Canis lupus familiaris: one gene and its partners. The protein of the gene in region 5 interacts with the protein of the main gene of each other region in a pairwise test. Links are inferred from orthologs where the notes say so. Each region holds a gene or a part of one and is shown on either strand. Other genes may lie near its edges.

Evidence for each region.
Region 1: the proteins of TFIP11 (region 5) and SSX2IP interact in binary tests that used the Homo sapiens proteins (3 or more experiments, as listed by UniProt). The two-hybrid records come from large-scale screens. The link is inferred for Canis lupus familiaris from reciprocal best matches to the Homo sapiens genes TFIP11 and SSX2IP.
Region 2: the proteins of TFIP11 (region 5) and ZC2HC1C interact in binary tests that used the Homo sapiens proteins (3 or more experiments, as listed by UniProt). The link is inferred for Canis lupus familiaris from reciprocal best matches to the Homo sapiens genes TFIP11 and ZC2HC1C.
Region 3: the proteins of TFIP11 (region 5) and GOLGA1 interact in binary tests that used the Homo sapiens proteins (3 or more experiments, as listed by UniProt). The two-hybrid records come from large-scale screens. The link is inferred for Canis lupus familiaris from reciprocal best matches to the Homo sapiens genes TFIP11 and GOLGA1.
Region 4: the proteins of TFIP11 (region 5) and ODAD3 interact in binary tests that used the Homo sapiens proteins (3 or more experiments, as listed by UniProt). The two-hybrid records come from large-scale screens. The link is inferred for Canis lupus familiaris from reciprocal best matches to the Homo sapiens genes TFIP11 and ODAD3.
Region 6: the proteins of TFIP11 (region 5) and THAP8 interact in binary tests that used the Homo sapiens proteins (3 or more experiments, as listed by UniProt). The two-hybrid records come from large-scale screens. The link is inferred for Canis lupus familiaris from reciprocal best matches to the Homo sapiens genes TFIP11 and THAP8.
Region 7: the proteins of TFIP11 (region 5) and RHNO1 interact in binary tests that used the Homo sapiens proteins (3 or more experiments, as listed by UniProt). The two-hybrid records come from large-scale screens. The link is inferred for Canis lupus familiaris from reciprocal best matches to the Homo sapiens genes TFIP11 and RHNO1.

What each region holds. Positions count from the first base shown.
Region 1 is NC_049227.1:63,790,369-63,794,286, forward strand, and holds part of SSX2IP (afadin- and alpha-actinin-binding protein), read left to right. Parts: intron 1-1,398; coding exon 1,399-1,534; intron 1,535-3,299; coding exon 3,300-3,375; intron 3,376-3,445; coding exon 3,446-3,635; intron 3,636-3,918. UniProt on the Homo sapiens protein: Belongs to an adhesion system, which plays a role in the organization of homotypic, interneuronal and heterotypic cell-cell adherens junctions (AJs).
Region 2 is NC_049229.1:48,486,582-48,491,043, reverse strand, and holds the start of ZC2HC1C (zinc finger C2HC domain-containing protein 1C), read right to left. Parts: upstream 3,126-4,462; 5' UTR 3,038-3,125; exon of another isoform or gene 2,975-3,037; intron 2,894-2,974; exon of another isoform or gene 2,224-2,893; intron 2,134-2,223; 5' UTR 2,115-2,133; coding exon 789-2,114; intron 1-788.
Region 3 is NC_049230.1:58,176,684-58,181,069, forward strand, and holds the start of GOLGA1 (golgin subfamily A member 1), read left to right. Parts: upstream 1-1,235; 5' UTR 1,236-1,369; exon of another isoform or gene 1,370-1,425; intron 1,426-1,610; exon of another isoform or gene 1,611-1,849; intron 1,850-2,040; exon of another isoform or gene 2,041-2,060; intron 2,061-2,192; 5' UTR 2,193-2,242; intron 2,243-3,102; 5' UTR 3,103-3,274; coding exon 3,275-3,409; intron 3,410-4,386. UniProt on the Homo sapiens protein: Involved in vesicular trafficking at the Golgi apparatus level. Involved in endosome-to-Golgi trafficking. Mechanistically, captures transport vesicles arriving from endosomes via the protein TBC1D23.
Region 4 is NC_049241.1:50,317,883-50,321,663, forward strand, and holds part of ODAD3 (coiled-coil domain-containing protein 151), read left to right. Parts: intron 1-1,192; exon of another isoform or gene 1,193-1,478; intron 1,479-1,569; coding exon 1,570-1,740; intron 1,741-1,831; coding exon 1,832-1,933; intron 1,934-2,017; coding exon 2,018-2,143; intron 2,144-2,354; coding exon 2,355-2,477; intron 2,478-2,986; coding exon 2,987-3,139; intron 3,140-3,781. UniProt on the Homo sapiens protein: Component of the outer dynein arm-docking complex (ODA-DC) that mediates outer dynein arms (ODA) binding onto the doublet microtubule. Involved in mediating assembly of both ODAs and their axonemal docking complex onto ciliary microtubules.
Region 5 is NC_049247.1:20,595,113-20,599,499, reverse strand, and holds the start of TFIP11 (tuftelin-interacting protein 11), read left to right. Parts: upstream 1-1,223; 5' UTR 1,224-1,276; intron 1,277-2,960; 5' UTR 2,961-2,969; coding exon 2,970-3,178; intron 3,179-4,387. UniProt on the Homo sapiens protein: Involved in pre-mRNA splicing, specifically in spliceosome disassembly during late-stage splicing events. Intron turnover seems to proceed through reactions in two lariat-intron associated complexes termed Intron Large (IL) and Intron Small (IS).
Region 6 is NC_049222.1:117,497,487-117,500,420, reverse strand, and holds part of THAP8 (THAP domain-containing protein 8), read right to left. Parts: intron 1,279-2,934; coding exon 1,086-1,278; intron 644-1,085; coding exon 252-643; coding exon of another isoform or gene 248-251; exon of another isoform or gene 1-247.
Region 7 is NC_049248.1:4,136,109-4,140,633, reverse strand, and holds the start of RHNO1 (RAD9, HUS1, RAD1-interacting nuclear orphan protein 1), read right to left. Parts: upstream 2,983-4,525; 5' UTR 2,871-2,982; intron 2,383-2,870; exon of another isoform or gene 1,393-2,382; coding exon of another isoform or gene 361-1,392; intron 1-360. Other genes in the region: FOXM1 (forkhead box protein M1), read left to right, coding at 361-1,392; TEX52 (testis-expressed protein 52), read left to right, coding at 3,260-3,339, 3,698-3,806, 4,176-4,525. UniProt on the Homo sapiens protein: Involved in microhomology-mediated end-joining (MMEJ) DNA repair by promoting recruitment of polymerase theta (POLQ) to DNA damage sites during mitosis.

The DNA of each region.
Region 1 (3,918 bases), on a different chromosome or scaffold from region 5:
CTGTCTCTCTCTGTCTATCATGAATAAATAAAGTCTTTAAAAAAAAAAAAGCGGGATCCCTGGGTGGCGCAGCGGTTTGGCGCCTGCCTTTGGCCCAGGGCGCGATCCTGGAGACCCGGGATCGAATCCCACGTCGGGCTCCCGGTGCATGGAGCCTGCTTCTCCCTCTGCCTGTGTCTCTGCCTCTCTCTCTCTCTCTGTGTGACTATCATAAATAAATTTAAAAAAATAAATAAAACTGAGAAAGTTAAAAAATAAAAAATAAAAAAAAAATAAAAAAAAAAGCAATTCACATTTAAAGATCCTATTTCTGATTGTTAAAGACATCAATTCTAGTCTCAGTTCAAGTGTTTACTTAGTATTTGGATCTATAGATTTAATACATTTGAAATTATTATTTTTTTAAATTACATAAGAAACATTTTGTTCTCAGTGTTCTGCAGTTTGATCCCTGACCATCTGATAACTATAAAAATACAGTATATATTTTCAGTATTTTATATAAATTTTTTTAACTATAATTAAGGACTTTAGGGATGGAGTGCATTTCTTTAATGACTTTATAGTGGTTTAGCCAGATTTGTTTTGTCATATTTTGACTATTTAGTAATGTAGTTAGTGGATAATGAAATACTTTAATTAAACTGCAATGTCACTTACACATTTCCTTGAGTTATTTCACAGAAAATTTTGACTTGACCTGCTGGTTCCACTTCAGTGTTTAGAATATGGTTAATTTTTAGTAAGGATTAAGTTACACATGATCATCTCTAGCAGTATTAAAAATGTTTGTATAGAATACAACACACGTCCAATCAAGGCCTGCCTGAGAAGCCACAGTAGATAAAAACCTCGAACAGTAGTAGGGCCTGGCATATAGTAGGCACTCAGCAAATATTATTACCAGGTTCTGCTCTTTGGACCTACTCTAATTTGAGAACTATTTATGGTCAGATAAAAACAAACCTGTTTATGTGCTGGGATGTGCTGTGGTTAATTTGTCACAGATTAATAAGGTATAAAGCGATTCAAGTCAGTAGTATAAGGAAGTCACTACAAATGATCAGATTAATTCTTGTCCCAGATGAAGTTTTAATCACTTTAATACTTCTGTAAGAGTTTCTGGTTTCTAAAGGAGCAGAGTCTATATATAGGGTAAAAGGGGAAGAAAAAGATAATTTGGGATGTTAGTAGCTCTGGAAATTTAAGAATTAAAAAACAAAAACTTTATGTGAATCACTTAGTGATACTTTAAAAAGTGATGTCCAGTGGTCATTGAGAAGCATAATCCTAAAATTATTTTATGAGGAGGTGGATGCTAGAACTTATTTACTTTACAAATTTTAGCTGGGGTTATCAATCATAAAGGGACTCATTCAATGGAAATGCTATTTTCAGGTACAAAAATTACAAAATATCATTGCAAGTCGAGCTACTCAATATAATCATGATATGAAGAGAAAAGAACGTGAATATAATAAATTAAAGGAACGTCTACATCAGCTTGTTATGAACAAGAAGGATAAAAAAATAGGTAAGAAACAACTGGTTAAGATAGAGGAAAGTAAATAAGCTAATATGCTAAGAAATAAATGTGAACAATAGCACAGTAGCTCATGAAGTATAATTTTTATGCTTCATGCAATTGTTTATAGCCAGTATATATCCATATAAACTAGAAATTGAGGCAACTTATTAGTGAAAAATAATAATTTTGCTGTTTCCTTTGTTGCATATAAGCATTATATGTATCTTTTTTAATATGGTAGTTGTAGTTCCATAGAGGAAAACCCAAGCCAGAGGATATTCTAATCCTCCTCAGAAAAAAACTGATAATAAGAAAAATCAAGATGAGTTTCTGAGTATCAAAAAAAAGTGTGATTTTGGAATTAACTTCATAAAATTATTCATCAGGCCAAATTATTTACATCTGTTCCTTTAAAGAAATGTAGCTGTGCATTTTTGAAGCACCTAGTCTAAAGGATGAACTGTGAATGTTAATGCTTATGCTTGTGCTTAAGAGTCTTTTGAAAAGCAATTTGCAACTTCATCCAAGTATATGCATACCTTCAGGTAAATCACATAGATGAAAAAGTAAAAACACACGTACACAAGAGTAAAGCTCTGCAGATACAGTTTTGCTGGCCTGGTAAGATGCAGCCCAGGAAATCTATGCATTTATTTATCAAAGAGTGGTTTCCAAGTGGACTATAGGTTGTCCTCTAACCTACATTGTACAGTAATGCCCTAAACTGTGGTTTCCGAAACTGAGCTTGGCTGACACAACAGCTGATGAGCAGATGTCTCAAGCTGTCACATGGTGGGCTGTGTCCGCTGTCAGCAGGCAGCTCAGTGCTGACTGCATCACTGCCATTCTGCACAGCAGAGCTTTTGCGATTAGTCAGCTATCTTATTTTAAAATTACTGAAAAATGAAAATGGAATAAGCAATTAAGACAAGGTTGAAAGTCTTAGGATAATCAAATTTAAACTTCATTGGTTAACCTCGTATTCATTCATGAATTAAATAAAGAGAAGGATGAAATGCTGTAAGTATAAAATGTAGCACCTAATTAGAGAAATTTATTAAAGATTTAACTCTGGTAACAGAGCCCTTATTTTATTGGGGCCTGGCTGTTTTCTAGTGCAAACCTAATTGGAAGTGACAGTTTCATAATGATTTTATCAAGTCTAAAATTACAGTAACTTCTTGTCCTCTTATTTCCTTCTAGTACTGTCAGGGGCCTTGATTCCTTTGATGATGATGACAACACAGGGCTTGGCAAACTTTTTCTGTAGAGATTCTAATAGTAAATATGTTCAGGTTTGTGGAGTCTGTAGTCTTTCATCACAACTATTCATCCCCACACTTGTAGTATAAAACTAACTAATATGAACAAATGGTGTGGCAATGTTCTAGCAAAACTTTATTTAGAAAATCAGGCAGCTGGCCTACAGGCCATAGTTTGCTTATTACCCCAATGATAAAATTAATAATGATAACAAAATAACATTTATCAAGACTTTGTTAAGTGTCTTAACTTCTTTTACCCTTCACAACAACTCTTTGGTAAATACTTTCATTATTCCTTCTGTACTGACAAAGAAACAGGCTTAATCAGTGTCGAGATCTCAGTGCTTAACAGTGATGGAGAACTGGAACCTGAAATGTGGGCTGTTTGAGCCAAAATCCTAATCTGTACCAGGTTGATTTATGTGTGATAGAGTGTGTTAGGGTTTTATACACTTTAACAAATGTGTGGTAAGAATTGGTTTTGTTTTGCATGTTCATATTTTTAGCTATGGAAGTTTTAAATTATGTGGGGAGAGCCGATGGAAAAAGAGGCTCCTGGAGGACGGGTAAAACTGAGGCCAGGTAAGGTCCAATTTAAATTGATATATTTCATCAGACTTTTCTTCCTGTAACTGCATTTTCATACTGACAGTTTCTTTCTCAGGAATGAAGATGAAATGTATAAAATTCTCTTGAATGATTATGAATATCGTCAGAAACAAATCCTAATGGAAAATGCTGAACTTAAGAAGGTTCTTCAGCAAATGAAAAAGGAAATGATTTCTCTTCTTTCTCCCCAAAAGCAGAAACCTAGAGAAAGAGCAGATGATAGTACAGGAACTGTAAGTGGCTCTTTCCTCTCTCCTACAGTTTCGGATTGCTAAGTCGAACAATTAAAACATTAGATAGGTCTTCCCAGTGGGGACACTCTTGATGTTTTGGACAGGACACTCACTACTGTACCAGCTCCAGTCACTGGGACGACGACAACAAAATGTCCCTGTTTGTTTCTAGAACTTGGGAAATGATGGAGATGACTTTAGAAGGACTTAGTGCCAAACACTGTGATAAACACTTTGTGAGCATTGCCTCATTTCACTCTTCTAATTTGATGCTTTTCCTGTC
Region 2 (4,462 bases), on a different chromosome or scaffold from region 5:
CTACAGTAACCATTTATTACTTTTGCTTTTATTTGTTTAAAGATTTTATTTGAGAGAGAGCAAACACGGGTGGGGAGGAGCAGCAGGCAGAGGGAGCAGACTCCCTGCTGAGCAGGGAGCCCCTACGTGGGACTCGATCCCAGGGCCCTGGGATCATGACCTGAGCTGAAGGCAGATGCTTAACCAACTAAGCCACCCAGGTGCCCCAACATTTATTACTTTTATAATCAATAGGACATATATTTTTAAGCCTGGATTTTTTGCAGTGCTTCTAACCCAGATTTATATGCTGACTCTTGTTTGAGAGAGCACATGGGCAAGTGGTGTGAGGGGCAGAAGGAGAGGAAGAGAGAATCCTCAAAGAAATTCCCCACGGAGAGCAGAGCCTGATATGGGGCTGGAGCCTGATGCAGGAGCCCAACGTGGGGCTTAATCCCAGAACCCTGAGATCTGACCTGAGCCCAAATCAAGAGTTGGATGCTTAACTGACGCTTAACTGCCACCCAGGCACCCCATATATGCTGACTCTGCCATTCAAAACTGTTTGTGATTTCAAGCAAATTAAACTCTCTGAGATTTGATCTTTGAATTGATAAGAGACAACGAAACCCTCACAGGGTTGTGCTGAGGATCTTATGATAAACTCCTATCACAGTGACTGGCACACAGTAATCAATAAATGTTCTTTCTCCCTGTATGACACATGAGTTTTTTTCTAAAGAAAACTGATTTAGCATCCTTTTATAATGATCCCCAAAGTCAAATCCATAAGGCCCTGGCCTTTTTACCTTGACTGGGGCTGGCCCCTTCCAGTTCAGGTACTGCTCTAGTTCTGTGCCCTTGGCCCGGGCCCTGGAGGAGTCAAACACTTTCCTCTTGGAACCCTGCATCCTGCTGCAGACGTTGGAGTGTCTCTCCAGTCTGACCAAGAGAAACTTGCGTCCACAGTGGCTACATTCGCCAAGTTTGGGGTCTTCAGTGGAACAGCTGGAAACCGAAGAGTCTGGTCCCCTAGACAAACTAGAATTGCTGGTGGATCCCCACAAAACACTGCCAGGCCCTTCTGAAGACTGAGAAAACTCCTTTGATGACTCTGAGACTAGGTCTCGGATTCTGTTATTGCTTGCCACCAGTCTTTCCCTTTTGAGCTTCTGTATTCCGTAATCAGAGAACTGGAATGGACCAGAATTTTCTTGAGACTGTCCCCAAAGTTCATCTTCTCCCCTGTCTCTACTGAAGACCTCCTCAGACCCGAATTCTGGGGAGAAGGTAGGTTTGTATGTGGTGTTGCTATTACCTTTAATTCTCCTCCTGGGGAGTGTCATTCTCTGTAGCTCTCTTTTTTCATTTTCCTTAGCCTGTTCCTTTTCTTTCTGGATCCTTCGGAGTTCCTCCTCTGTCTTCTTCAGCTTTTCCCTAAGGAGGGTTTCTTTTCTCCGGATTTCCTCTTGTAAGCTCTCCCCTGCAGCTTCTAGTCTTTGGATCTGCATCCATTCGGTCCTGTTGGGGTTTGCCATGGCTCTCTCCTCCTGTGTGGCAGCAATGGCATGGAGCACAGATGCATTCACCCAGTTCCTTGAACCAAAGCTGCTGTATGGAAACTCTCTTGGTTCAGGGGGTCTCGGAGAGACATCCTGGTCCCCATCAATGCCAGCTTCACTTGTACTGTGAGACTTCCTATGGAACACGGGTTTCAGCGGGTATGCCCGGTCTACCCCAACTCGCTTCTTCGTAAAGGGGATGAATTCCTGATTATTTGCTTTGGGATACCAGGACTGAGAATTTGCTGAGTAAAACGAACCCTTTGCTTGGCCTTGGGAATCGCTTCTTGAATCTTGCTGGCTGATTCCAACACAGTGGGGATAGGAGCAGCTCCCAGCTTTTGTGCAGGCGTTCCATTTGGAGTGAGTGTAGAGATTATCCAGCGTCAGCTCTTTGTTGCTCAAAAGCTTCTGCTGGAAATTGTTCCTCAGGTGCCCCATGGAGGACCGCTGAGAAGAGTCACCTTTTTCATAGGGCTCTTGCTTAGCTGAGAGGAGCCCTGGAGCTTCCCTTTCATTATATGGAAGCATAACGCCCACAGGCAGAGGTGGTGCCAACTGGAGGCCAGCCATTCAGGGACCGGACTGAAGCCTAGGGGAGATTTAAACCAGATATATTGTGAGGAGGTTTTCTGAGGTTACCCCCGGCTACTAAAGTAAACAGTTTATACATTTGTCCTACCTATTCTCTTGAACTTTTTAGGGACAGTGGTGCTGGGTCTGCCAGAACTTTCCTTCAGTAAGGATTTGGTGAATGCTTATTATTTCCTGTGGGTGCCTATTAGATCTTGAGGACAGAAAAACGAATGTGACACGGGTGTTCCCGCCACCTCGCTTTATTCCAGTACCAGCCTCTGCCATACACAGCGATGCTCCTGCCATACACAGGAGACTCCTTAGGTGGTGGAAAGATTTACTGGAAAGGGCTGTCGGACTCAAAGTCAGGCTTTAGGCCTGTGACACAGGACCAGCAACTTTCCCTTGCTGGCTGGCTTCTTCACCTATCCACTGAAGTTTCGCTCAGAGTTACAAGACCTTAGGACTCTGAGTCCGGGCCTACGGTGTCACAGGTGAGCAAACTGCGGCTCGGAGGTAGGTGGCCCGCACAAGGCGCTCTCAGGGCTTCCCCGCTGCTGGACTCCAGAGGACACTCGAGCCGCCCGGGCCGGCCGCAGGTGCCCGGCCGTCACACCCGCACCCAGGATCCCCACGGCGCGGATCGTAACCTGAGAGCTGGAGGCCACCTGACCCGGCCGCCGCGCCGCCCGCCGCACGGGTGCTGAGCTCACGCACCGCCCCAGAGTCCGCAGCAGGGGCGCCCCCGCTGGGGCCTCCGCTTGGGGAACACAGCCCTCGCTCTTCTGCCCATGCGGCCGCCCTTGGGAGGCGAGGCGCTGACCCTACGTCTGCTCCCCTCGTCTGCTTACGCCTACCTGAGGCTCTGGCGGACCGTTCCTGCTCAGGGGAAAAGAAAAAAAATAAATAAATAAACCCACCCAAGACTTAGCTTTCCACCCCCGACCGCCCCCGGGCCGAGCCTCAACCGCCCGCCGCGCAGGCGCTCTGCGCGGGCCTTTGTTGTTCCCGTTGCCTGGAGACGCGAGCGCGTGCGCACCCAGCCCCGCGCACGGCCCCGAGGCGCCCGCGACGGGGGTGTGGCCAGGGCGAGTGTCCCTTGACCCGGTGTCCCGCCGACTCCGTGGCTCCGTCCCGCCCTGCCCTTGGGGAACGGGAGAGGGGGCGGGAGAGGCGTTTCTGGGGCTCCATCAAAGAACGTGTGTTTTTCTGAGAACGATGCTCCCAGCCCCTGGGGCGTGCCCTTCTCTGGCAAGAGTCGGAGCCCCGGGAAGGGCCCGGGAGTCGCGGTGCAGGCCTGCGGCGTCCGCCCGGCCGGCGGCAGGGGGCCTGCTGGTCGCCTTGCTCAGCGCGCTCGGCTGCCCCGTGCGGGCCCCGGGTGTGCGGCCCCTCCCGCCCGTCCCAGCCCGCAGTTGGGAGCTTGCGGTCGGACGTCAGCTGCTCGGCGAAGTTGTGCCGCCCAGGGTCTTTTCCGAGGTAGTTTTCGTAGCCAATCTAATTATTTTGATATGATGTTTTGCTCTCACGTGGTAACCCTGGCCCGTCTCTTCGTGAGGCCCAACGGTGACTCAGCCAAGTGTAACGATAATAAAGTTAACTACCGGATTGAAAATGATCGGTGTAACCTGGTCCTCAGCGCTGAACGACATTCTGTGACTTGTTAACATTAGAAAGGGGTTTATTTGTCTTCATGCTTTAGTTCGTTTGTGTAAGATGTTTGGAACAGGCGGTTTACTTTTTTCCTGTAACTACTCAAAAAGATTCATGCACTTGGGACATAAAATGGACAGCAGTAGTCGGTGTTGATGCTTCAGCATGTCATTATTACAGCTTTACATGTTACAGAGACATTCCTTGGTGGGCCCTCCTCCGGGCCAGTCCTTTGATTCCTTATTTTCTTTCATAGCTGACTCAACTGCCTTCTCTCTCTGCAGTTTCAGACATTTCCCGCTACACTCCAGGCCCTAATTATGTCAGCATCTGGCCTGCCTGTCATCAACTCCTGCAGCTCCCCTCCAGTCTGGCTGAATTGCCCAGAGTGCCTCCCTTCATCCTGAATTCCTTCCCTCTGGTGTCTGAGGAAAAAGAAAATCTTTCTCTTTCCTTGTGGTCTGTTGAATCAGTCCCTTTCTGTACCCTCCTGGACTTGACTCCATCACGTTACCCCTCCACCTTATTCACTTCGAGTTGTATCTATCCACATACTCCTTCTCTTTGGTTTTAAAATATGTTTAACTTTGCCCTGCAAAGCAAACCTCATCTCCCATGGCCTGCTGCCTCTCATCTTAGGGTCTCATGGATTTCTCCTCTTCTCCTCAAGCCTTCTTAATAGACAGCTATACATT
Region 3 (4,386 bases), on a different chromosome or scaffold from region 5:
ATTGATAAATGTTCTCTAGGAATGTGACTACATTCATCAGGTGTGAACTCTTGTAAATGAATTTTGTATCTTGAATCCACGTGTATATTAAGTGTATCATCAATATAAAAATAAACATTATTTGCTTAACGTTTTTGGTACTTCTTCAGAATCGCTGACAACGTAAGTAAGCAAACCCTAAACTGTTAGGGTTTGCTTCTTCCAGATAATACCTGAGACACTTCCGACTCTCGGGGTCCTAGCTTCCATGCTTATTCTTCTAGTTGGTAAATTTCTTCTAAGTTCTAATCTTGGTGTTTTCCCTGCCCATCTCGCCGTGCTCAAAAACTGCCATACTCAGAGGGAAGATCGTTTGGGAGGATGGGTGGAAGCTGCTGACCCTCTGGCTGTTTTTAGGTGCTGGGCAAGAACAAGAGTGACTTCAGTGCGGAATGTCTGGCTTGGTTGGCACTGAAGGGTCCATGGACCCGATGTAGGCTAATTTGCAGTGTAACTTTGAACAAGAGCAGTTTTACCTCTTTGGAGTTTGTTCACCTGTCGCAAGGTGGAGGCCCACTAGATTATGAATGTAGTGGAATGCCATTAGCTCGTTCATGAAATGCGGTATGTCGGAGTGCATCGTGTAAGGGTGGGATTCTGGGAACTTCTTTCAGTGTGTGTCCTGGGTTGCGGTATAAAACCTAACCTGCAACGGGTCATAAGCATCAAAGTCCAAACTAGTCACAGAGCGCGAAGACCTAGTTCTGGTTTCTGAAGCCGCAGGGTTCTGTGAGGAGGGAGGCAGGGCCTTGCGGTGATCACGTACGACTACAGGTGGGCAAGACTGCGGGGCAGGGCACGCTGGGGCCGGGAAGCGGGAAGCGGGAAGCGGGAAGCGGAACGGACACGCCCCGCTCGGCTCAGCCCCGGCCTTGGGGCTCTAGAGCGCCCGACGCACGCGGGTCCCACCGCCACCAATAGGATGCTTCTCCCTGCTGCCACGAGGCTCCTCCCACTGCCCCGCTCCGCACCACCCCCTTTAAAAAAAACCCCGAACAAAGGCTTTGGCCACCCAGTCACCGTCCGCGGGCCGGGCCGCCGGCTGACGTGGCGGAGCAGCCTTAGGCGGCGGTCAGCCCCGCGCCCGCGCCCTCCGGCGACTCCAAACCAACCGCCGCCCCGACGGGCTCGCAGGCGACCGCGGCGACCGCGCGCGGGCGCATGCGCGCGGCGGATCCTCCCCGCGCTCAGCCACTTCCGGCGCGTTGGTGGAGGTGCGGTTCCGGGTCGCTGCTCCGCTCGCCGGCCGGCCGCGGGGGCTGGTGACGCGGGCCGGCGTTCGCGAGAGGTCCCGGAGGCGGGGCCCTGCCGGCTGCCGAGAGAGCGGCAGGTGCGCGGGCGGGGGCCGGAGATGCCAGCAGGCCCCTCTTCCTCTCGGTGGCCTAGGTCGGCCTCCGGAGCGGCCCGGACGGGGCGGCCCAAGACCCGAGGCGGGGGGCGGTACCGGGGTGCCGAAAGGGCGGGGGTGGGAGCAGACGGGCTGTCCGGCCTGGGAGTCTGGGGCAGGGGCTTTCAGGATCCCCCTCCCCCCTCCCCCCCCAGCGACCTTGGACAAGTCACACCTCTTTCCTGGGTCTCATGCTGTCAAGTGGGAGAGGCGTCGAGTCAGTCCCCCCTCTTCTTTGACAGTCCAGACGCGGGCGGTTCAAGAGTGAGCCTGAGCGAGTGGGGCCCAGACCCCCGAGGCAGGTACCTGCCTCACCCTGGGCGTTAGCCAGTTTCTTTCACCCAGTGTAGCCTTTCTTTTTCTCAGCGACGCTCTCAGTGCGAGTCAAGGAAGGCTCTGACTAGACAGCCCGGGTCTGGCCAGGTAAACAAACCATGTGTGACTGGTCAGAACCAACTGAGATTAAATACTGGCCCCGGGGGAAGCCGTGGTTTCGTTCCAAGTTGTGTTTGCTTTGGGGCTTCCAAAGTGAAGTGAATTTAGGCACCGATGAGAGATTGCTCTTCTTTGTACCTGCTAGTGAAGCTCTTTAGCAGATCACAAGCGCAAAGGAGAAGGTAGCCAGCCCACTGAGGTTTGTGGCAGTGATAGATTCTCCCCTGTCTTCCGGTTAACTCTCCCTCTCTCCTCTTGCATTTACCCCCAGCATTTTGGCCTTACGCTTGAAAGGAAATACCCAATGCATTGTATCTTTGTTTTCATGCAGGACAGAATGCTTTGATCTCCAAGCTGTTTTAAATCTGGTAGATAAGCCAGGTGAGTAGGTGGTTTGCAGACATTGAAGAATTGTACAGGCTTAAATGGACCATATGGAGTGGTAAGAAGTCATTTTGTAGATCTCAGAGCGGAACTTAGGTGCCCTCCGCAGCACATGGTAACTTAAGGTTGGAACCAGAATACTAGGGTTTCATGCAACACCGGGAGAAAAAGATGTTTGAATCTCGTGTTGAATATCACATAAAACATTCTGAAGATAAAACTGAGTTCAGGTCATTTTAATCACCCTTAAAAGAAAACTGTGCAGCGTTTCCAGGACATGTTTAAGGGTATCTGGTGCTTAAATAGGGTAGTTGCCTGGCTTGCCTGTTTTTTCTAGGTTGTCAGCTTTTTCTAGTTGACAGCTGTTGGCAAACCATCCTAGATTATTGCACCTTTATCCCACTATTGAGTTACATATTTTTGTCTTCATCTTACCAAAAAAAAAAAAAAAAGAAAGAAAGAAAAAGTAAACTGTAGTTAATATTGGGGGCAGGGTCCCAAACCATCATGTGATGTTAATGTGTACCCTGGGAAATTTTACTAAATGTGTTATATGCCATAGCCAATGTGGCATGATAAAAAATCAGGACTTGTGAGTCAGAGTCCAGGGCTCAAATACCAGCCCTGCCACTTAAGCACACACTCTGGCAGATTACCTCATCTCCTCGAGACTGGATCTTCTTATCTGTTTATGCATGTGAAGCATCTGAGTGTTTTTTAAATGTTTAGCAATTGTGTTCTATTAAATGTACATGTAAAATTAAGAAACTTAATTTTGAAACCTGAAGCTTAACACAGCAACTCAGTGGTGAAACCTCTGCTGTGTTTAACTTAGCCCTCTCTCATCTGATTTATAGATACTGTGTTCCATAAACCCTTGGCCCACATTTAAGTGGGAATGCAGCTATCTTGGATGTCTGGAACCTTTTAGGCACCAGTCTCTGAAGTCTTGGTTGCTGGCCTAAGGACTAGACTACTGGTTTGGTTCACAAGCTGGTCATCTGTGCAGGATAGCCACACAGCAAAAAAATGTTTGCAAAACTAAAGAAGAAAATTGCAGAAGAGACTGCTGTGTCCCAGAGGCCAGGAGGTGCTACTAGGATCCCACGGTCAGTGAGCAAGGAGTCGGTTGCCTCTATGGGAGCTGACTCAGGAGATGACTTTGTAAGTATATTCTCTAGTTTTTAATATTTGGTACAGTCTTGATATATTTTTTAAATAATACTTCGGAGAATATTTTCAATAATTATTTTCTTTTAAAATTGAAAGATTATCTGGGGCTTATATTTTATTCTTCTTAATTTAAGGTGCTTTTTTTCCCCTATTTTTTTGGGAGTCCTTTTTCATAGTCTTTACATTATCCTCTTGTATCCTTTTTACACCTTGTGCATCATCTTTTATATTTCATTTCTCAAAAAGCCTTGGCCTGTTATTTCTGCAGACAGATATACTTTAAGATATTGTGGCCCAACATGGTCTGGGAGTTAGTCAGAGTGCACTATTTTACTGGGAAAGTTGATGAAAAGATGACACCGATGACTGCAATATGTCCCTTATTTGTAAAGGACCTTTGTGTTTGGAAAGATTTCAGAAAAGTGGAGATGCTGTTGTGTCAGGTTAGATGTGATGCCTTAGGATTAAAAGTGTGTCTTTGGCATAGGACAGGATCCTCTCAAAGTCCGATATCTTTTTTAAAAAATGATTTATTAAAAAAAATGATTTAGAATTCTTGATATATGTAAAGGAATGTATGTAATATAAATGTAAAGTATAAAGCATAAAAATAAAATGAACAGGGATCCCTGGGTGGCGCAGTGGTTTGGCGCCTGCCTTTGGCCCAGGGCGCGATCCTGGGGACCCGGGATCGAATCCCACATCGGGCTCCCAGTGCATGGAGCCTGCTTCTCCCTCTGCCTGTGTCTCTGCCTCTCTCTCTCTCTGTGACTATCATAAATAAATAAAAAATAAAAATAATAAATAAATAAATAAATAAAATGAACACTTGTTAATATGTCACCTTCCAAAGAACTAGAACATTATGGATACTGTTGAAACCACTTGTATGCTCCTGCCCAGGTCACTTTCTTCCTACCTGCCCTCCAGATAAATTTTGTATTGATCATTCTCTTGATTTTTAAAAT
Region 4 (3,781 bases), on a different chromosome or scaffold from region 5:
ACTCCTCAGAACTTCATATCCTCCTGGGGAAAAGACAATGGGGGGGGGGGGCGTAGGAGGGGAACAAGAACAAATACAGAAAGTAATTTCCAGTAGTGATAAGAGAAATGAATAAAATAGCAGAGTGACTTCCTAGAGATGGATGGGGCAGAGGTTTGCACTTTTTTTTTTTTTTTTGAAGATGTTTATTTGAGAGAGAGAGAGTGCACACACGCAAGCATGGGGTGGGGAGAGCAGAGGGAGAGGGGAAGCAGACTCCTGCTGAGCACAGAGTCTGCTGTGAGGCCCTGGATTCCAGGGCCCAAAATCATGACCTAAGCCAAAGGCAGACACTGAACCAACTGAGCCAACCAGGTGCCCCAAGGGGTTTGTACTTTAGATTGGGGTGGGGAGTCAGCAAAGCCCCCTCTCTCTAAGAAGGTGATATTTGAGCTGAGAATGAGACAGGCAAGAAATGATTTTGGGAAAAGTGTTCTAGGCAGAGGGAACAGTGAATGCAAAGTCCCTGAGGTAGAAACAAGGGGTAGAGTGTTGGAGATGATAACATCTCCAGTGCGGCAGAGGAGTGTGTGAGCGGGGCTCCATAGGAGGTGAGCATCAGGAGAGTCAGCAAGGGGGCACCTGGGTTGCTCAGTCAGTTAAGAATCTGACTTCGGTCCAGGTCATGATTTTGAGGTCCTGGTGTTAAGCCCTGCTTGTTCCTATGCCCCTCCTCCTACTCATGTTCTCCCTCTCTCAAATAAATAAAATCTTTAATTAAAAAAAAAAAAGAAAAAAAAATAAAAAAAAAATAAAAAAAAAATAAAAAAAAGGATCAGCAGGGGCTGAATCTTCCAGCAGGCTTAGCTGGCCATGATAAAGAGTGCAGGTTTTATGACATATCAGAGAAGTGGGAAGCAGAGTGTGAGGAAGCAAGAATGGAGGTCAGATGGTGAAGATGGTGTTAGCTGTACTCAGACAAAAGTGGTGAAAATAGGAAGAAAAAGATATCTCTGGGAAAACCTTTGAAATAGAACAAAGCATTGATAATGAATCGGATGTAGGTGGGAGAAGAAAAGGTGAGGATATTGAGCTGTTGGACTGAGCACCTGGAAGGATGAAGCTGCTATGAGCCGAAATGGAGAAGATCCAAGGGAGGCAGACTTCGGGGAATCTCACACACTCAATTTTGGACATGATAGTTTCGAGATACCTGTGGAGACACCTGGAAGGCAGTGTAGATTGATACGGGTATATGACCCTCTAGTTCTGGGAGTGGGGCAGAGCTGGGGGTTAAATCTGGATGTCTTCAGCCTGTGGTCCAACCATGAGCCTGGATAGGTCCATCAAGGTGGTGGGTATGAACAGAAGTGAGAAGAGCCTGGGGCCGTCCCTCCTGGGGGCCAAGGAAATGGACAAGGGACAGCCAGGGTGGAAAACTGGCATCCTGGAAGATGACGATCTGCAGGGGATCAGCTTGGTCAGATGCTGCTGAGACCCTGGGTGATAAGAAACAAGATGTGGGAGAAGAAAGGGAGGAAGGGTTAGGTGAGAGGGTTGAGACTGCCGCTGGGGCTTGCCTCCCCCCAGCAGGCCTTTGAGCACCTGGACCACCGACTGAGTGAGAAGGTGAAGCAGCTGAACACTCTGCGGCACCAGGTGGGCCTGCGGCAGAAGTGGCTGGATGAGCTCCAGCTGCAGCACAGCCTCCGCGAGCTGGAGATTGCAGAAATACAGAATGGCAACACGGAGGTGGCCAAGGTGAGGCTACCCAGGGGTGGGAGGAGGGCAGGGATATCCTGGGAAGAACTTGAGAGGGGAAGAGACTCAGCCCAGCCTTGCCTCCCTCTAGACCATGCGGAACCTGGAGAACCGCCTGGAGAAGGCCCGGATGAAGGCTGAAGAGGCTGAACACATTACCGGTGTGTACCTGCAGCTCAAGGCCTATCTCCAGGTGGGGACCAGCATGGCTCAGGGGTGACGTGGGAGGGCCAGCTGCCGAGGCACAGTGGTCACAGGGCCCCCACCCCACCCCCAGGAGGAGAGCCTTCACTTGGAAAACCGGCTGGATTTCATGGAGGCTGAGGTGGTGAGGGCAAAACGCGAGCTAGAGGAGCTGCAAGTGGTGAACCAGGAGGCGTTCAACGCCCAGGATATTGCCAAGGTGCCAGCCCGCCGGGCCCCGGGGTTCCTGCCCAGACGCCATGGTCTCCTGGCCCCCAGAATCCGGACCCCAGCTGTCCCCGAGCTCCTCCCGCCTGTCTCCCGGATGCCGCAGCCTGGCCCAGCTGCCTGAAGTTGTTGGGCCAGGCTGCTCCGGCCCTGAGCCACGGTGGGTACCAGCTGATCCCCCTGTCGCCCTGCTCTTCCTCCAGAACCAGCTGCAGTATCTGGAGGAGACCGTGTTTCGAGAGCGCAAGAAGCGTGAGCGCTACATAACCGAGTGCAAGAAGCGGGCGGAAGATAGGAAGCTGCAGAACGAACGCATGGAGCGCAAGGTGACCCTGTCCAGGGGTGCGGGGTGCAGGGGGCGTTCAACCCCAGCCTAGACCTGGCCCGGCCCCACCCCTGCCCTGCTCTTAACATTTCTCCGGACTCCGCCCAGCGCCACCTCCTCTTGATGCCAGGGTTCCTCCCACGAACCTGCCCTCGCCCTCCTCCCATCAGATTGCCTGTCTGGAGGAGCTTCCAGATGTCCCCTCACTCGCTGGTGGTCCCCATCCTTCCCCACCTGATTACCACCCCCCCACACACACACCTAAATCTGATCAGGCCTCTAGCACCTCCCCTTACTCGAGGCCCCGCCCCTGCTCTCTTGACCCCGCCTCTTGCACGGCCCCCGTGCCTGCCCCTCGCTGACCAACCCTTTCCTGCCCTCCTGACCCCTAACTGGGTGCCCCAAGACTTTACCCTGGCTCCCCAGTCGGGCCCTGCCCCCTCGCGGTCCCCTGCCCTCAATCCTTGCCTGAGAGCTGACTCTCCCGCCCTGGCCTCAACCTGTGAACAGACCCAGCGTGAGCACGTGCTGCTGCAGTCGGAAGATTCGACCCAGGACAGCCTGCGCGTCAAAGACAAGGAGCTGAAGCAGCGCTGGACCATGTACCAGACAGAGATGCTTTTTGGCAAGGTCAAGGATGCCACCGGCGTGGCTGAAACCCACGTGAGTACTGCCGGCGGCCCGCAACGCTCTCCGCCCTCTAGTTGCACTCAAGCTGAGCCCAGGCCAGTGAAGCCAACCCAGCCAGCCTCCCCTTTCCCCGGGCTCAGTTCCTCAGCCAACACAAACCTGCTCTATTCGTAAAAGACACTTCTTCTGCCTCTAGCTACTGCCCCGTTCTGCTCCTCACAGCAAAACCCACATGAGCTGTCTACCCTCGCCATCATTCCCTCTCCTGTTCGCTCTAACACTGGCGCTTTCCTTGGCGTGTCAGCTCTGAGAAGTGGTGAGCTTTGTCTTTTCTGTGTTTACGGCGCCTGTACCATGGTCTGGGGCACTGCTGACTGCCCACTGCCACTCTTGGACCCTGGCAAGCCGGACCCCTGTCCAGTTTCTGTCTTTTGAGCAGTCTCCCAGTGCTGCTGCTTTCATAGGATAACCCCCAAAGAGTTCTGGGACTCCAAGCTATGGGAGTCATCTGGGGCGCTGTGGCCAGGCACCTTTCCAGAAATTGGCCTGGTGGGCAACTACCTCTGAGATTGGCCATGTTTCCTCACTGGATTGGGCGAGATTCACAGTCACAATGTGGATGGCAGGTTGATTTTGAAGAGCAACTATGCTCACTGCTACCCTGCACCACACGCT
Region 5 (4,387 bases):
CCATGAAGTCAGCTGTAGAGCTGGAGAGAGAGCTACAGAGAAGCCAAGCGAGCTTCTATCTTTGGCTCTGGCCTATCACCAGATGCCTATACATTTCCAGGCCCAGACTCAACACGGTCTATCTGGTCTCCTTGTTTTTCCTCCCTCTGCTCCCTGGTGGAGCTTCTCCTCTGTTAGACTCTCTTCCCCTCCTGCCCTCTCTTCTATGAAACCTCACTTTCTAACATCTTTCCTGACTACACACTGTGTGTCGGCCTCGGTGACACACGTCAGTGGGGACGCAGAGACCACGGGAGTCACAGCGCGTGTTTCGAGAAGCTGGCAGTCGCTTGCCTTCCTGTGGGTTCTGGTTTCATTCACAACGGCGGGAAGTTGGATCCAGATCTTTGACTAAGAGCCGGGTGCGCTCCGTGTATTCTTAACAACTGCCGCTTGCACCTTTTCATCATAGGAAGGAGAGAGAAAGAACGTGAGCGAAGACTAGGGGCTGACACGCCTAGGCAGCCCTGTGCTTGCACATTTCATCTCCCCGGATCCTCAACCATTTTGCAGAAGAGGAAAGCGAGGCTTCCAGAGGCGCAGGGACTAGGGGGGCCCCGGGCCCGGGTGCTTGCGGGGTGCAGAGGCAGCCGCCACTCCCCGGGCGGCCCGAAGCCCTTGAGCCTCGGCCCGCGGGGCTCCGCACGGTCCTATCAATCGGTGAAGGAATGAAGGTCTCGACCACGGGCTGGGGGGCGGTTCCCGGAGGGAGCGCGTGGGGCCCTGGTCCGCCCGTCCCTGCGCTCTCAAGCTCCGCGCCCACCGCGGTGCTCGGCCAGGGGCCCCGACGGCACCCGAGACCTTGCTCCCGCCGGCAGCCTGGCCCCGCGCCCCGCGCCCCCCGCCCCGCGCCCCGCGGCCGCCCGCTGGCCCTCACCGCTGCCCCGTGCGCCAGTCCTCTAGCCCCTTTTACGCAGTCGAGTCTCAGACTGGCGGCGGGGTCCCCGCGGGCCGGGCGCGGCACGGAGGTCGGGGAGGTCGGGGAGGAGGTCGGGGAGGTCGGGGAGGTCCGGCAGCGCGCCCGCCGCCATCCGAGGCCCTGGAAGCCCCGCCTCCTCCCTCGCACTCGGCCCCGCCCCGTTGGAGCCCGGGACGCGCTCGCCCGTCGCGGCCGTGACGAAGAGCGCCCCGCGCCCGCCCCCGCCCCCTTGTACGTCATTTCCGGCGCGCCGCCGCGGGCACATCCGGGCTCCTGGCCTCCGGCCGGTAGCTGCGCTTGGACCCGGGACCTGCGGAGGTGAGCGGGGCGGGGGTGCGGGCAGCGGTGGGGCGTCCCCGCCGGCGGGCGTGAGTGCGGGGGACGCAGCCCCTCCGCGCAGCCTGCTCCAAGCCTGCTTTCGAGCGCCGTCGGCGCGGAACCGAGGCCCGGTGCTGCCCCTGGCTCGTCCGCCCCGCGCGGGCTCTTCGGGGGCCCGGGGAGGCCGAGGCGCTGCGGAGCCCCGAGTGCTCGGGGGCGCTTCCCTTCTGTGCGCCCCGCCAGCGTGGCGGGGGTGCAGTGAGCCGGGGAGCCTGGGGACTAGCGCCCGGACGCGCCGGCCCCCGCGAAGGCTGCTTGCCGCCCGCGGCTGTGGTGACGCCGCGACGCCGCCGCCGACCCGCCGGAGCTGGGGTTTCAGCAGTCCTCCCCGAGGTCCCCTCCCCAACCTACTGATAGTGGCGGTGAGGAACCTGATCTGGGGCTACCGTAACAGCCCTTGCTCCCGGAGCGTTTTTACTCTGAGCTTAGTATTTTAAATTTTTTAAGAAATACTTATTTGAGAGAGAACGTGAAGCGGGGTGGGGAGGGGCCGAGCTGGAGCGGAAGAAGCAGAGTCCCCGCCGAGCAAGGACCCCGAGGTCTTGACCTGAGCTTAAGGCAGATGCTTATCCAGCTGGCCCACCCAAGCACCCCTGAGCTAAGCGTCTTTTAGGCACCACCTCGTTTAATCTGGCTCACAGGCATTCCCAGAGGGTGGGGGTAGAGTCAGCTGAATCTCATCACTCAGCTACCAGGAGCTGAAATCTCTGTTAAGGTAGGGTTTATGCCTTCAGAAGAAGTTCATGTTTTGGGAGGAAAACTTTTAAGTCTTAGGGTCTCACCAAGTAATATACTTCAGGAAGCGTGTTCTAAAAACCATCACTCCCGGTGGTGAACCGCCAAGGGTCCAGATATAGTAACTCTTTCCTCATATTTAGTTGTTGTTGATCCTTCGTTTTGACTCCAGAGTAACTACATTTTTTTGTGAGATTGTAAAAGTACCATTGAAGTTACAACTAATTTAAGAAGAATGGGAGAAGGCCAGTTAGAAGCCTCAAATCTTCCAGCAAACATCTGGCATTCTGAGGTGACAGTGTCCGTGACAGGCGAGCCACCCAGTGCTGTAGAAGAAGAAAAAGAAACAGCTGAAGAACCGGAAAAAGAAGTCCTCCCAGACATCGTAGAGCCACTCTCCATTCTAGATGTGCTGAGGATCTCTGCGGTTCTGGAAGATACTGCAGACCAGCTCTCTATTCTAAACTATATCATGCCAGTTCAGTATGAAAGAAAACAAAGTGTCATCATGGTATTAAAAAAAAAGGGGGGGGGGTTCCAGGAAGATGCCCACCCCGTTTCTGAGGCAGTAATAAGTAGAATAACATACCGAGTTATTTTTTTGTGGGTTATTTAGGTGTGAGTGTGTGTAAAGTTTTATGACCTTGACCAGGACAGGGAATCGCATATTGTTGGGACCAGTCTTTTGTCCCACCTGTTTAAATAGTGTTTGTTTTCTGAAATATGTTTTTAATGTCTGCCTTATTGAACTGTTAACAATGATTTTTAATCATTGGGACTTTGAGTGTGAGGAAGTTTGAAGGGAGTGAGGAGCAGGGACGGAAGCCTACTGCTGCTCTCCCCTCAGGACTTACCACAAACCACGTGCCTTTTTTATTCCTTTCTTTAGTGACCTGTCATGTCACTGTCCCACTTGTACCGGGATGGGGAAGGCCACATGGATGATGATGACGATGAGCGGGAGAACTTTGAGATCACCGACTGGGATCTCCAGAATGAATTTAACCCCAACCGGCAGCGCCACTGGCAGACCAAGGAAGAGGCCACCTATGGAGTGTGGGCAGAGAGAGATTCAGATGAAGAGAGGCCCAGCTTTGGAGGCAAACGGTACTGGCCAGCATGAGACTGCTTCCTCCTCGCTTTAGGGAAGATGGGGGGTGGTGGGAAGATAGCCCACTAAATATACCTTTCTCCTGGCCTTACCAAGTCCTGTAGCTACGATATAAGCTAGGGAGGCCCAGCTTCCTCTTTGGCCGGAGTGCTGCTCTTTTGCTGATTTAACCATCACTTCATGTTTAACGAGCAGTTATATGTACCATGTCGTATACTGCAGCCCCATTCCTTTCCTTCTGGGAGCCCAGACGCTAGAGCATGGAGACACATTAATTGACAGCTCATACGATGGAAGTTTATAACTGATTTAGGACCTGAGAGAGAGAGAGTTTGGCCTATTCTGGGAGGTGAGGGAAGATTTCTCTAGAGAAGTGACTTTTGAGTTTCTATTACAGCAGAAGGTAATGAGGGTGGTAGGAGAGGCACGGGTATGCAGAGGCTCCTGAGGGGAGGCGGTGGGTGTCCACAGGGGTACAGAAAGCTTTGCAGGCTGCGGTGAGGGAGGGAGAGGGGGCATAGTTTGAGAAGAGGTCTGTGGTAGAGCGGATGATGTGGGCTGCACTTACCTTTGGAGAAGACCTGTCAGTGTGCAGAGTTGACAGGGAGCTGCAGGGGAAGAGGAAACTCCATGAGGCAGGAGAGGAGGATTCAGGCCAGTAGTCGTCCTCCCCAGTGTGAGAGGTCATGTGTGCAGTGGCCACAGCTCACTTGACCAGAGCGTGTAGCGAGTTTGGCTTTGTCTCTGTGTTTCGTCTGTGGTTTGTAGGCTCTAGCCCATTGACACTGTGCGTTTTTCACAAAGGAGGCTGGGGAGAAAGTATGGAGGTCAGATCAAGTCCTCATCTGGCAAGGAAACCTAAAAGTGGGTGATAAATAGATCAGAGGTCAGGAATTAACATTCTCTATAACCATAAGATAGTACCTTGTTCTGCACTCTACGTGCTTGGTATCCTTCACCTTGTGAGAAAAGTAGCATCATTATCATTCCTTTTTTCAGATTAAAAAACTGAGGCCAAAAGCACATAACCAGGCTGTAAGAAACTGGGCCTGACTCCTGAGTCTGGGTCTCTACGGCCTAAGTTACATTGCATTGTTTAGGAAAAAATGCTACTGCCATGGGGATGGTTAGTGACAAGTTGGTCATTTTATAAAGGTAACCAGGAAATAGGACATTGTAAGGACTGTTCTTGTGACAGTTGTCAA
Region 6 (2,934 bases), on a different chromosome or scaffold from region 5:
TGAAAAATGGGGACCACAGCCACATCAAGGTCATATGAGTTTTAAGTTATTAACTCTGTCTGGCACAGAGTAAGGGCAGCCATTACCATGCTCTGACCAATAGTTGGTAGGCGTTGACAGATTGACTTTTTTTCCCCCAAGAAAACTCAGAAGTTTGGAAACATGAGTGAAATGTTCTGACTTTTAAATACTGGACCCTAGCACTGAAAATGAAAATACATGTGCTCTGGGGGCCAGGTGGCCACACTCACCAGGCATAGCAGGCCCTGGAGCGCCTAGCTGGCAGGCCCTCCTTGCACAGCTGCTGTACCAGCTGTTCTAGGGCCTGCAGCTGCACCTGATGCTGCTCATGGTGCCGCTGCAGCCTCCACACCCGCTTCTGCAGTGCTCCCAGGACACTGCCCAGCCCAGCCAGGGAGTTCTGGGCCTGGACTCCAGGCTGTGGCCTGGCAGGAGCAGGAGGAGGGGGCAGGGAGGTCAGGAACATGGTGGCCGTGGCTTCAGGGCCTCCAGATGCTGACCCCAGTACCGCAAGATGCATAGGGCCAGAGGCTGAGACAGTTGGATCCGGAGACAGGGGCATGGCCTCTGGTGAAGAGGGAGACTCGACTGGCTTCTCAGTGCTTCGGGAACTCTGCTGCCTCTGGAAGAAAAGGCATGGGATGAGAGGCATCAGGGTCAGACTTTAAGGGGTACTGTCCTCAGGGATCCCTGGGTGGCGCAGCGGTTTGGCGCCTGCCTTTGGCCCAGGGCGCGATCCTGGAGACCCAGGATCGAATCCCACGTCCGGCTCCCGGTTCATGGAGCCTGCTTCTCCCTCTGCCTCTGTCTCTCCCTCTCTCTCTCTCTCTCTCTCTCTGTGTGACTATCGTAAATAAATAAATAAATTAAAAAAAAAAAAAAAGGGGTACTGTCCTCAGATAAGGCCAGACCTCAAGGAGGAACTTCCTTGAGGGGAGGGCTGAGGGTCAGACTGCAGCAGGGACTTCCCTCAGGAGAGGAGGGCTGAGGATCAGACTCCACAGGTCATTTCCAGGTGGGGAAGACAGGGTCAGACTCCAACAGTGGGACCTCCTTTTGCTCACCTTAGCAGGTGGTGCTGGGGAGAAAATGGATGGCACTGCATCAGGCCGCAGGTAGCGCACACCCCAGCGCCACTGGAAGCAGGAAGGTGTGAAGTGCTCACTGCACAGATGGTGGTGGCAGCTGGGCACCCAGTCCTCATGGCCCATGTGCCTCAGCCAGGCCTGCAGCCGGGGGCCATCCTTCAGTGGGAACCTGCCAGGGACAGTGGGGTTACAGGGTCAGCAATATCAGGTCAGTCCCACCTCTCTCTGGGGACATGCACACTCAGAGGTCCCTGGGCTCCAAACTTCTGTCTACCTAGGCCAGAAACTGGCCCTGCCTCTTACCCAGAGTCTCTCTACCACCAACCTACATCCCAACCTTCAGCTTCACCATTCATTCATTCATTTTAAAGATTTTATTTATTTATTCATGAGAGACACAGAAAGAGAGGCAGAGACATAGGCAGAGGGAGAAGCAGGCTTCCTGTGGGGAGTCTGATGCCGGACTCTATCCCAGGACCCCAGGTTATGCTGTGTCAAAGGTAGACACTTAACCATTGGGTAGACCCAGCACCCCAAGAGCCACCCAGGGATCCCTTTTTATTTTTTATAATGAATTTATCTGAGACAGAGAAAGAGAGAACACTTGCCTGTGCGTGAGAGCACGCACAAGTGGGGGGAGAGGCAGACGGAGAGGAAGAAGGAGACTCCTCACTGAGCAGGAAATCGGAAGTGGGGCTCAATCCCAGGATCATGACCTGAGCAGAAAGCAGATGCTTAACTGACTGAGCCACCCTGGTGCCCTCAGCTCCAGCTTTTTTTTTGTTTTTTTAAAGATTTCATTTATTTATTCATGAAAGACAGAGAGAGAGAGAGAGGCAGAGACACAAGGCAGAGGGAGAAGCAGGCTCCATGCAGGGAACCTGATGTGGGACTTGATCCGAGGCCTCCAGGATCACACCCTGGTCTGAAGGCAGCGCCAAACCACTGAGCCACCCAGGCTGCCCAGCTCCAGCTTTTAAACACCCAACATCGGCCTACCTCTCCCACCTCTGCTGCCCCTCCCTTCCAGCATCCATACTCTCCTGACTGGACTTTTACAGCAGCCTCTTTCCCAATCTCCCGACCCATAGCCACAATCTGTTATGAAACTGGGCAAATCTAGAATGTGTCCACATTCATGGGGACGGGATGGGGATGGGGGGGAGTAGGGTGGGGTTATAGATTAAAAGAAATGTAAGAAACATCCAATTGCAGATTGTGGTCCTCATCTGCAACAAACCATTTCATAAAAAGACATTTTAACACAGTAGGGAGAAAACTGAACATAAATTGGGTATTGGATAGCTGTAAGAAACTAATCTTGCTAGGTATGATAATTGTATTGGTTTATGCTTCTAAAATAGTCATCCGTTGGAAAAACATTCTGAATATTTATGGGTAAAAGAACTAATATCTAGGATTTACTTTAAAATCATGCATTAGGGATCCCTGGGTGGCGCAGCGGTTTAGCGCCTGCCTTTGGCCCAGGGTGCGATCCTGGAGACCCGGGATCGAATCCCACATCGGGCTCCCGGTGCATGGAGCCTGCTTCTCCCTCTGCCTGTGTCTCTGCCTCTGTCTCTCTCTCTCTCTCTGTATGACTATCATAAATAAATAAAAATTTAAAAAAAAATAAAATAAAATCATGCATTAAGGGACACCTGGGTGGCTCAGTGGTTGAGTGCCTGCTTTTGGCCCAGGGTGTGATCCTGGGGTCCCAGGATTGAATCCTGCATTGGGTTCCCTGTATGGAGTCTGCTTCTCTCTCTGCCTGTGTCTCTGCCTCTCATTATCTCTCTCTCTCTCTCTTCTCTCTCTGTGTGTG
Region 7 (4,525 bases), on a different chromosome or scaffold from region 5:
CAGGGAGCCTGATGTGGGACTCGATCCCAGGACCCCGGGATCACGACCTGAGCCGAAGGCAGATGCTCAATGTTGCACTGAGCCACCCAGGTGTTGGCATCCAGGTTTCTGTCTCTCTGTGGGGTACTAATTATAGCAGCGGCATAGTAAATGCTCTCTCTTTTACCCCCAGAACTGAACTACCACCTTCATCGTATATTCTCGTATTTCATAGTTTGTAAGACTTTTAAAAGATAGAAAATGAGGATCCGTACCAGCCTATGGCTTGATTTAGTCACGATCTTGTGTCCCGCCTGGTGGGTGGGGTGAATGTTAAGGCCCAGAGAGCTTCCTCTCACTGCACCCCTGCTTCCCTTTCAGGTGCTACTAGCTGAGGAGGGGGTGGCCCCTCTGCCGGCCACAGGGCCCCTGCAAGAGGACAAACTCCCGCTCGGAGAAGGGCTGTCTCCTCTGCTTCCAGTTCAGTCCATCAAGGAGGAAGAACCCCAGCCTGGGGAGGAGACGCTACACTTGGGGAGGCCCATCAAAGTGGAGAGCCCGCCCTTGGAGGAGTGGCCCTCGCCGTGCCCGTCAATCAAAGAGGAATCCTCTCATTCCTGGGAGGACTCCTCCCACTCTCCCACGCCAAGGCCCAAGAGGTCCTACAGCGGGCTCAAGTCCCCAGCCCGGTGTGTCTCAGAAATGCTTGTGATTAAACGGAGGGAGGGGCGGGAGATGAGCCGGTCTCGAAGGAAACAGCACCTCCTGCCTCCTTGCCTGGATGAGCCGGAGCCCGAGCTGCTCTTCTCCCAGGGCCCCGGGGCTTCCCAGCGAGCCACCGAGCTTACTTTGCCCACAGAGTCCTCTGAGCCTGCCTCCCGGCTTGGCTACTCCCAAGAGGAGGGAGGACCTTTTAAGACGCCCATTAAGGAGACGCTGCCCATCTCTTCCACTCCAAGCAAATCTGTCCTCCCCGCGACCCCCGAATCCTGGAGGCTCACACCCCCAGCCAAAGTAGGGGGGCTAGAGTTCAGCCCAGTACACCACCCCCAGGCTGCCTTCGGCCCCCTGCCTGATGCCCTGGGGCTGACGGATTTTAGCACCACCCCCCTGAAAAGCATTCCCCTCTTTGACTCGCCCAGAGAGCTCCTCAGTTCTGAGCCCTTTGACCTCACCTCTGACCCCTTCAGCACTTCCTCCCCCTCAGATATGGAAGTCCCCAAGCCAGACTCCCCTGGGCCAGAGGCTGCCAGCCTCTCAGCCAACCGCTCTCTGACAGAAGGCCTGGTTCTGGACACGATGAATGACAGCCTCAGCAAGATCCTGCTGGACATCAGCTTTCCTGGCCTGGAGGAGGACCCTCTGGGCCCGGACAGCATCAACTGGGCTCAGTTCATTCCTGAGCTACGGTAGAGGCCTACCTTACCCTTGCTGCCTGAGCTGTCCATGCTTCCAGGATCTCGGGTGGCTGGGCCATCCGAGGACAGCAGGCAGGGACCGTCCGCCCCTCTAGCTCCACTTTGCCTGCTTATGCCAAGACGGACATCATGCCGTGGCCACTACTGAGCCCTCTGCAAGCAGCAAGGTCCTGGTGACCGGTCACTGTGCCACCACTGCTCCCCAAAAGAATCCGGTTCCTCACTCTCCCTGCTAGGAGCTAAGGGTTGGGAATGGCAAAAGCAAGGGTGAAAAGAGATTAGGAACTCCTCGGACTGCTTACACCTGTGCCCAGGAGTCCCCCACTTTTCCTGATCCTTGCAGGGCAGCCCTTGTAAATAGTGTATATTCTCCAAATTATCCTCTAATTATAAATGTAAGCTTATTTCCTTAGATCATTATCTAGAGACTGCCAGAAAGGTGGGTAGGATGACAAGGGGTTTGTTTGCTCCTGTTCCTTGCTTTCAATTCCTAGAGAAGGGAGGACGCGCAGTGTACGGTTTCTTCCAGGCCCAGGGCACCTGCCTTCAGGGCTCTTTACTGTAGACAAGCAGATCTGCTTCCTAGGGTCCTGCTTATTGTCCCCCTCCCTTCCCACCTTCCCATGTTTCCAAGTCAGCTTTCCTGCAAGAAGAAATCCTGACAAAAAAAGGTCTTTTGTCAAGGGTCAAGAGTTGAATTGGGGGTGGGGGAATGGATGCATCTGAAGCAAAGAATGCAGGTGCCCAGATGTGCTCCCCTGAGATGTTTCTCTGATAACGTCCCTAATCATGCCAGAGAGACGAGCCATTTGCCAAGAACTTGGCCCAAGGCTTGAGAAGACTGAAAGGGCCCTGCCCTGCCTAACTTCCTTAGCTCACACCTCAGCTTTGCTAAGAGCCACCTGAGGCCCCAGCTGACCGCATGCATGTGAGCCAGCTCGAGAACACTACCATAACTGTCAATAAAATCCAGGGTGGAAGTGCTCTCTGTGGTGTGTTGGTGTCTGGTCCCTGAGGCATAAGGAGGGGTTGGGGAAGAACATGGGAGATGGAGATGGTGGTGACAGGGAATTGGTAAGGCCTGAAGCCAACACAAAGCACATGAAGGGGAGTGCTCAGGGCATTGGCCTGGGCTGCCTCCCACATCCTATGCAGGCACACATCAGAAACTGGCAGGTTTCCCAGGCTGGTCCTGCATGGCCAGCCTCTTCAGAACCACTGAACCTAATGGTTAACTTGGCCCTTTGGTTCTCCCTATAAGGGAAAGACCTACAGAGGGGTAGGGCCCTGCCCTTCTGGAGAGTAAGGAAAGATGGGCCCAGTTATAGGCACCTCATGATCATGTCCACCCCAACCCAGGGCCTGGAAGCCAGCCTACCCTGCTTTTCTCTTCCTGCCCTCCTAGGCAAGTCCCTCCCCAAAAACCCCTCTGGCTACCATCTACACATAAGTCCTATCCCCTGCCTGTCTCACCTGAAAGGCAGCCAGGCCCCAAAGGATTGATGAGTCCTCCCAGGGAGAGGTAAGGGCCTCCTCCTGCGTCACCATCCAGGAAGCATCACCATAGCAACCCCAACAGCAAACAATGCTGCCAGGGAAAGTCTTCCCTACCAAGCGGCCTCTCCTGACAATCAGGCCCACAGGTGGAATGGCCAGTAGCCCACCAAGACAACCCAGAGGGCGGCGTGTTCCGCCTCATGTCCAAAAACCTTTCTTGCAGGTAGGAGGTGGGGCCCTATCTCCACAGCCTATCTGTTTGCACACTGCTGGGCTAAGGACTGCCCCCCTGGGGTCAGGGGGTCAATAGATGTCTCTCAGTCCTGTGGTACTATGAACACAGAGCTCAGAACAGAGAAAAGGAGATGCCTGGTTATTACATCTCCCAGCCCCACCTCCTGGGGTGGTCACGTGGAAATGACAGCAGAGTGGGCCCAAGAGGCAGGTGAGTTTTTGTAGTCAATAAGGTCCTAAGGTGGAAAGAAGAGCATAGTCTCATGAGTAATACGGACAGATGGCTCAAGTCCCAGCTCTGCCACTCACAGACCTGGCAACCTCGGGTGAGTTCCTGACTCTCACCATGTCTTGCTTTTTGCATCGTTGAGATGAGACCGTAACAATGCTTGCTCCTAGGATTGTGAGGGTTAATTGAGTTGTGGACGTGTTTAGCACAGTTCCAATACCTACCTGGGCCCAGTTATAGGCACGGGCCCAGTTTATTTCACGGGAGGTGGGACAAAGGAAAGGGAAGAAACCAGCCTTCTAGATGTTTCCCCATACTTGGCTTGTGTTTGGACGAGAAGTGAGGGAAACGCACCCATGAGAGAGAAACGAGTAAGAGGACGAGTCCGGGAGAGAAGAACCCCTGGGCTGCATTCTCCGGAGAATGATTTTCCTTCTACGCCTCGCTCGGTAAGGGGCCTTTCCCCTCACAGTTTCCCTGGGCCCCCTGGGCCCTGTTCAGAGCCCCCACCCTGGCAGGAGCCCGAGGCAGCCAGAGTGCAGAGGAGGGACGAAAGTGAAAAGTGAGGAGCTGGGAGACCGGTGAGGAGGAGAGCAGGGTGGGAAATCCGAAAGCACAAGGTGAGAAACCCAGGGGGACCCTCCAGAGCAGACCGGACTTCTGACGGCAGGCCCAGCCCGCAGACGCCGTGGCCAGGCCCGGCCACCAGGGTCCCGACCAGAAGCCGGGGTGTGAGCGGGCCTGCAGCCTGGCCTCTCCGCAGCTGCTCCCGGGACGAAGGCAGGGCGCTCCCCAGGCTCCCTCTGGTCTCTCCCCAGATGGCCCAGGCCAGCGAGCCCCTCCTGACGTCCCAGACGCGGGCCCGGCGCGAGTTCCTCCTCCCTGGTGCGGCCCGGGCGTGGCCTGGCTTCACCCCGCAGGCCTACCGCCGGCTGGCTCTGAGGCTGCCGCCCTGCACCGCGCGCAAGGCCGAGGTGCGCCGCCGGCTGCTCCGCCCCGAGAAGGACGCGGCGCAGCACACCTGGGGCTTCCACACGTGGCTGGACGTGGGCCGCCTGCCCGCCGCCTTCCCCACCAGGCCCGACAGGCCCTACGATAGCAACGTGTGGCGCTGGCTGACCGACCCCGAGGCCCACGGCAGGCCCCCTGCGGAGCCCCCCATCCCTCC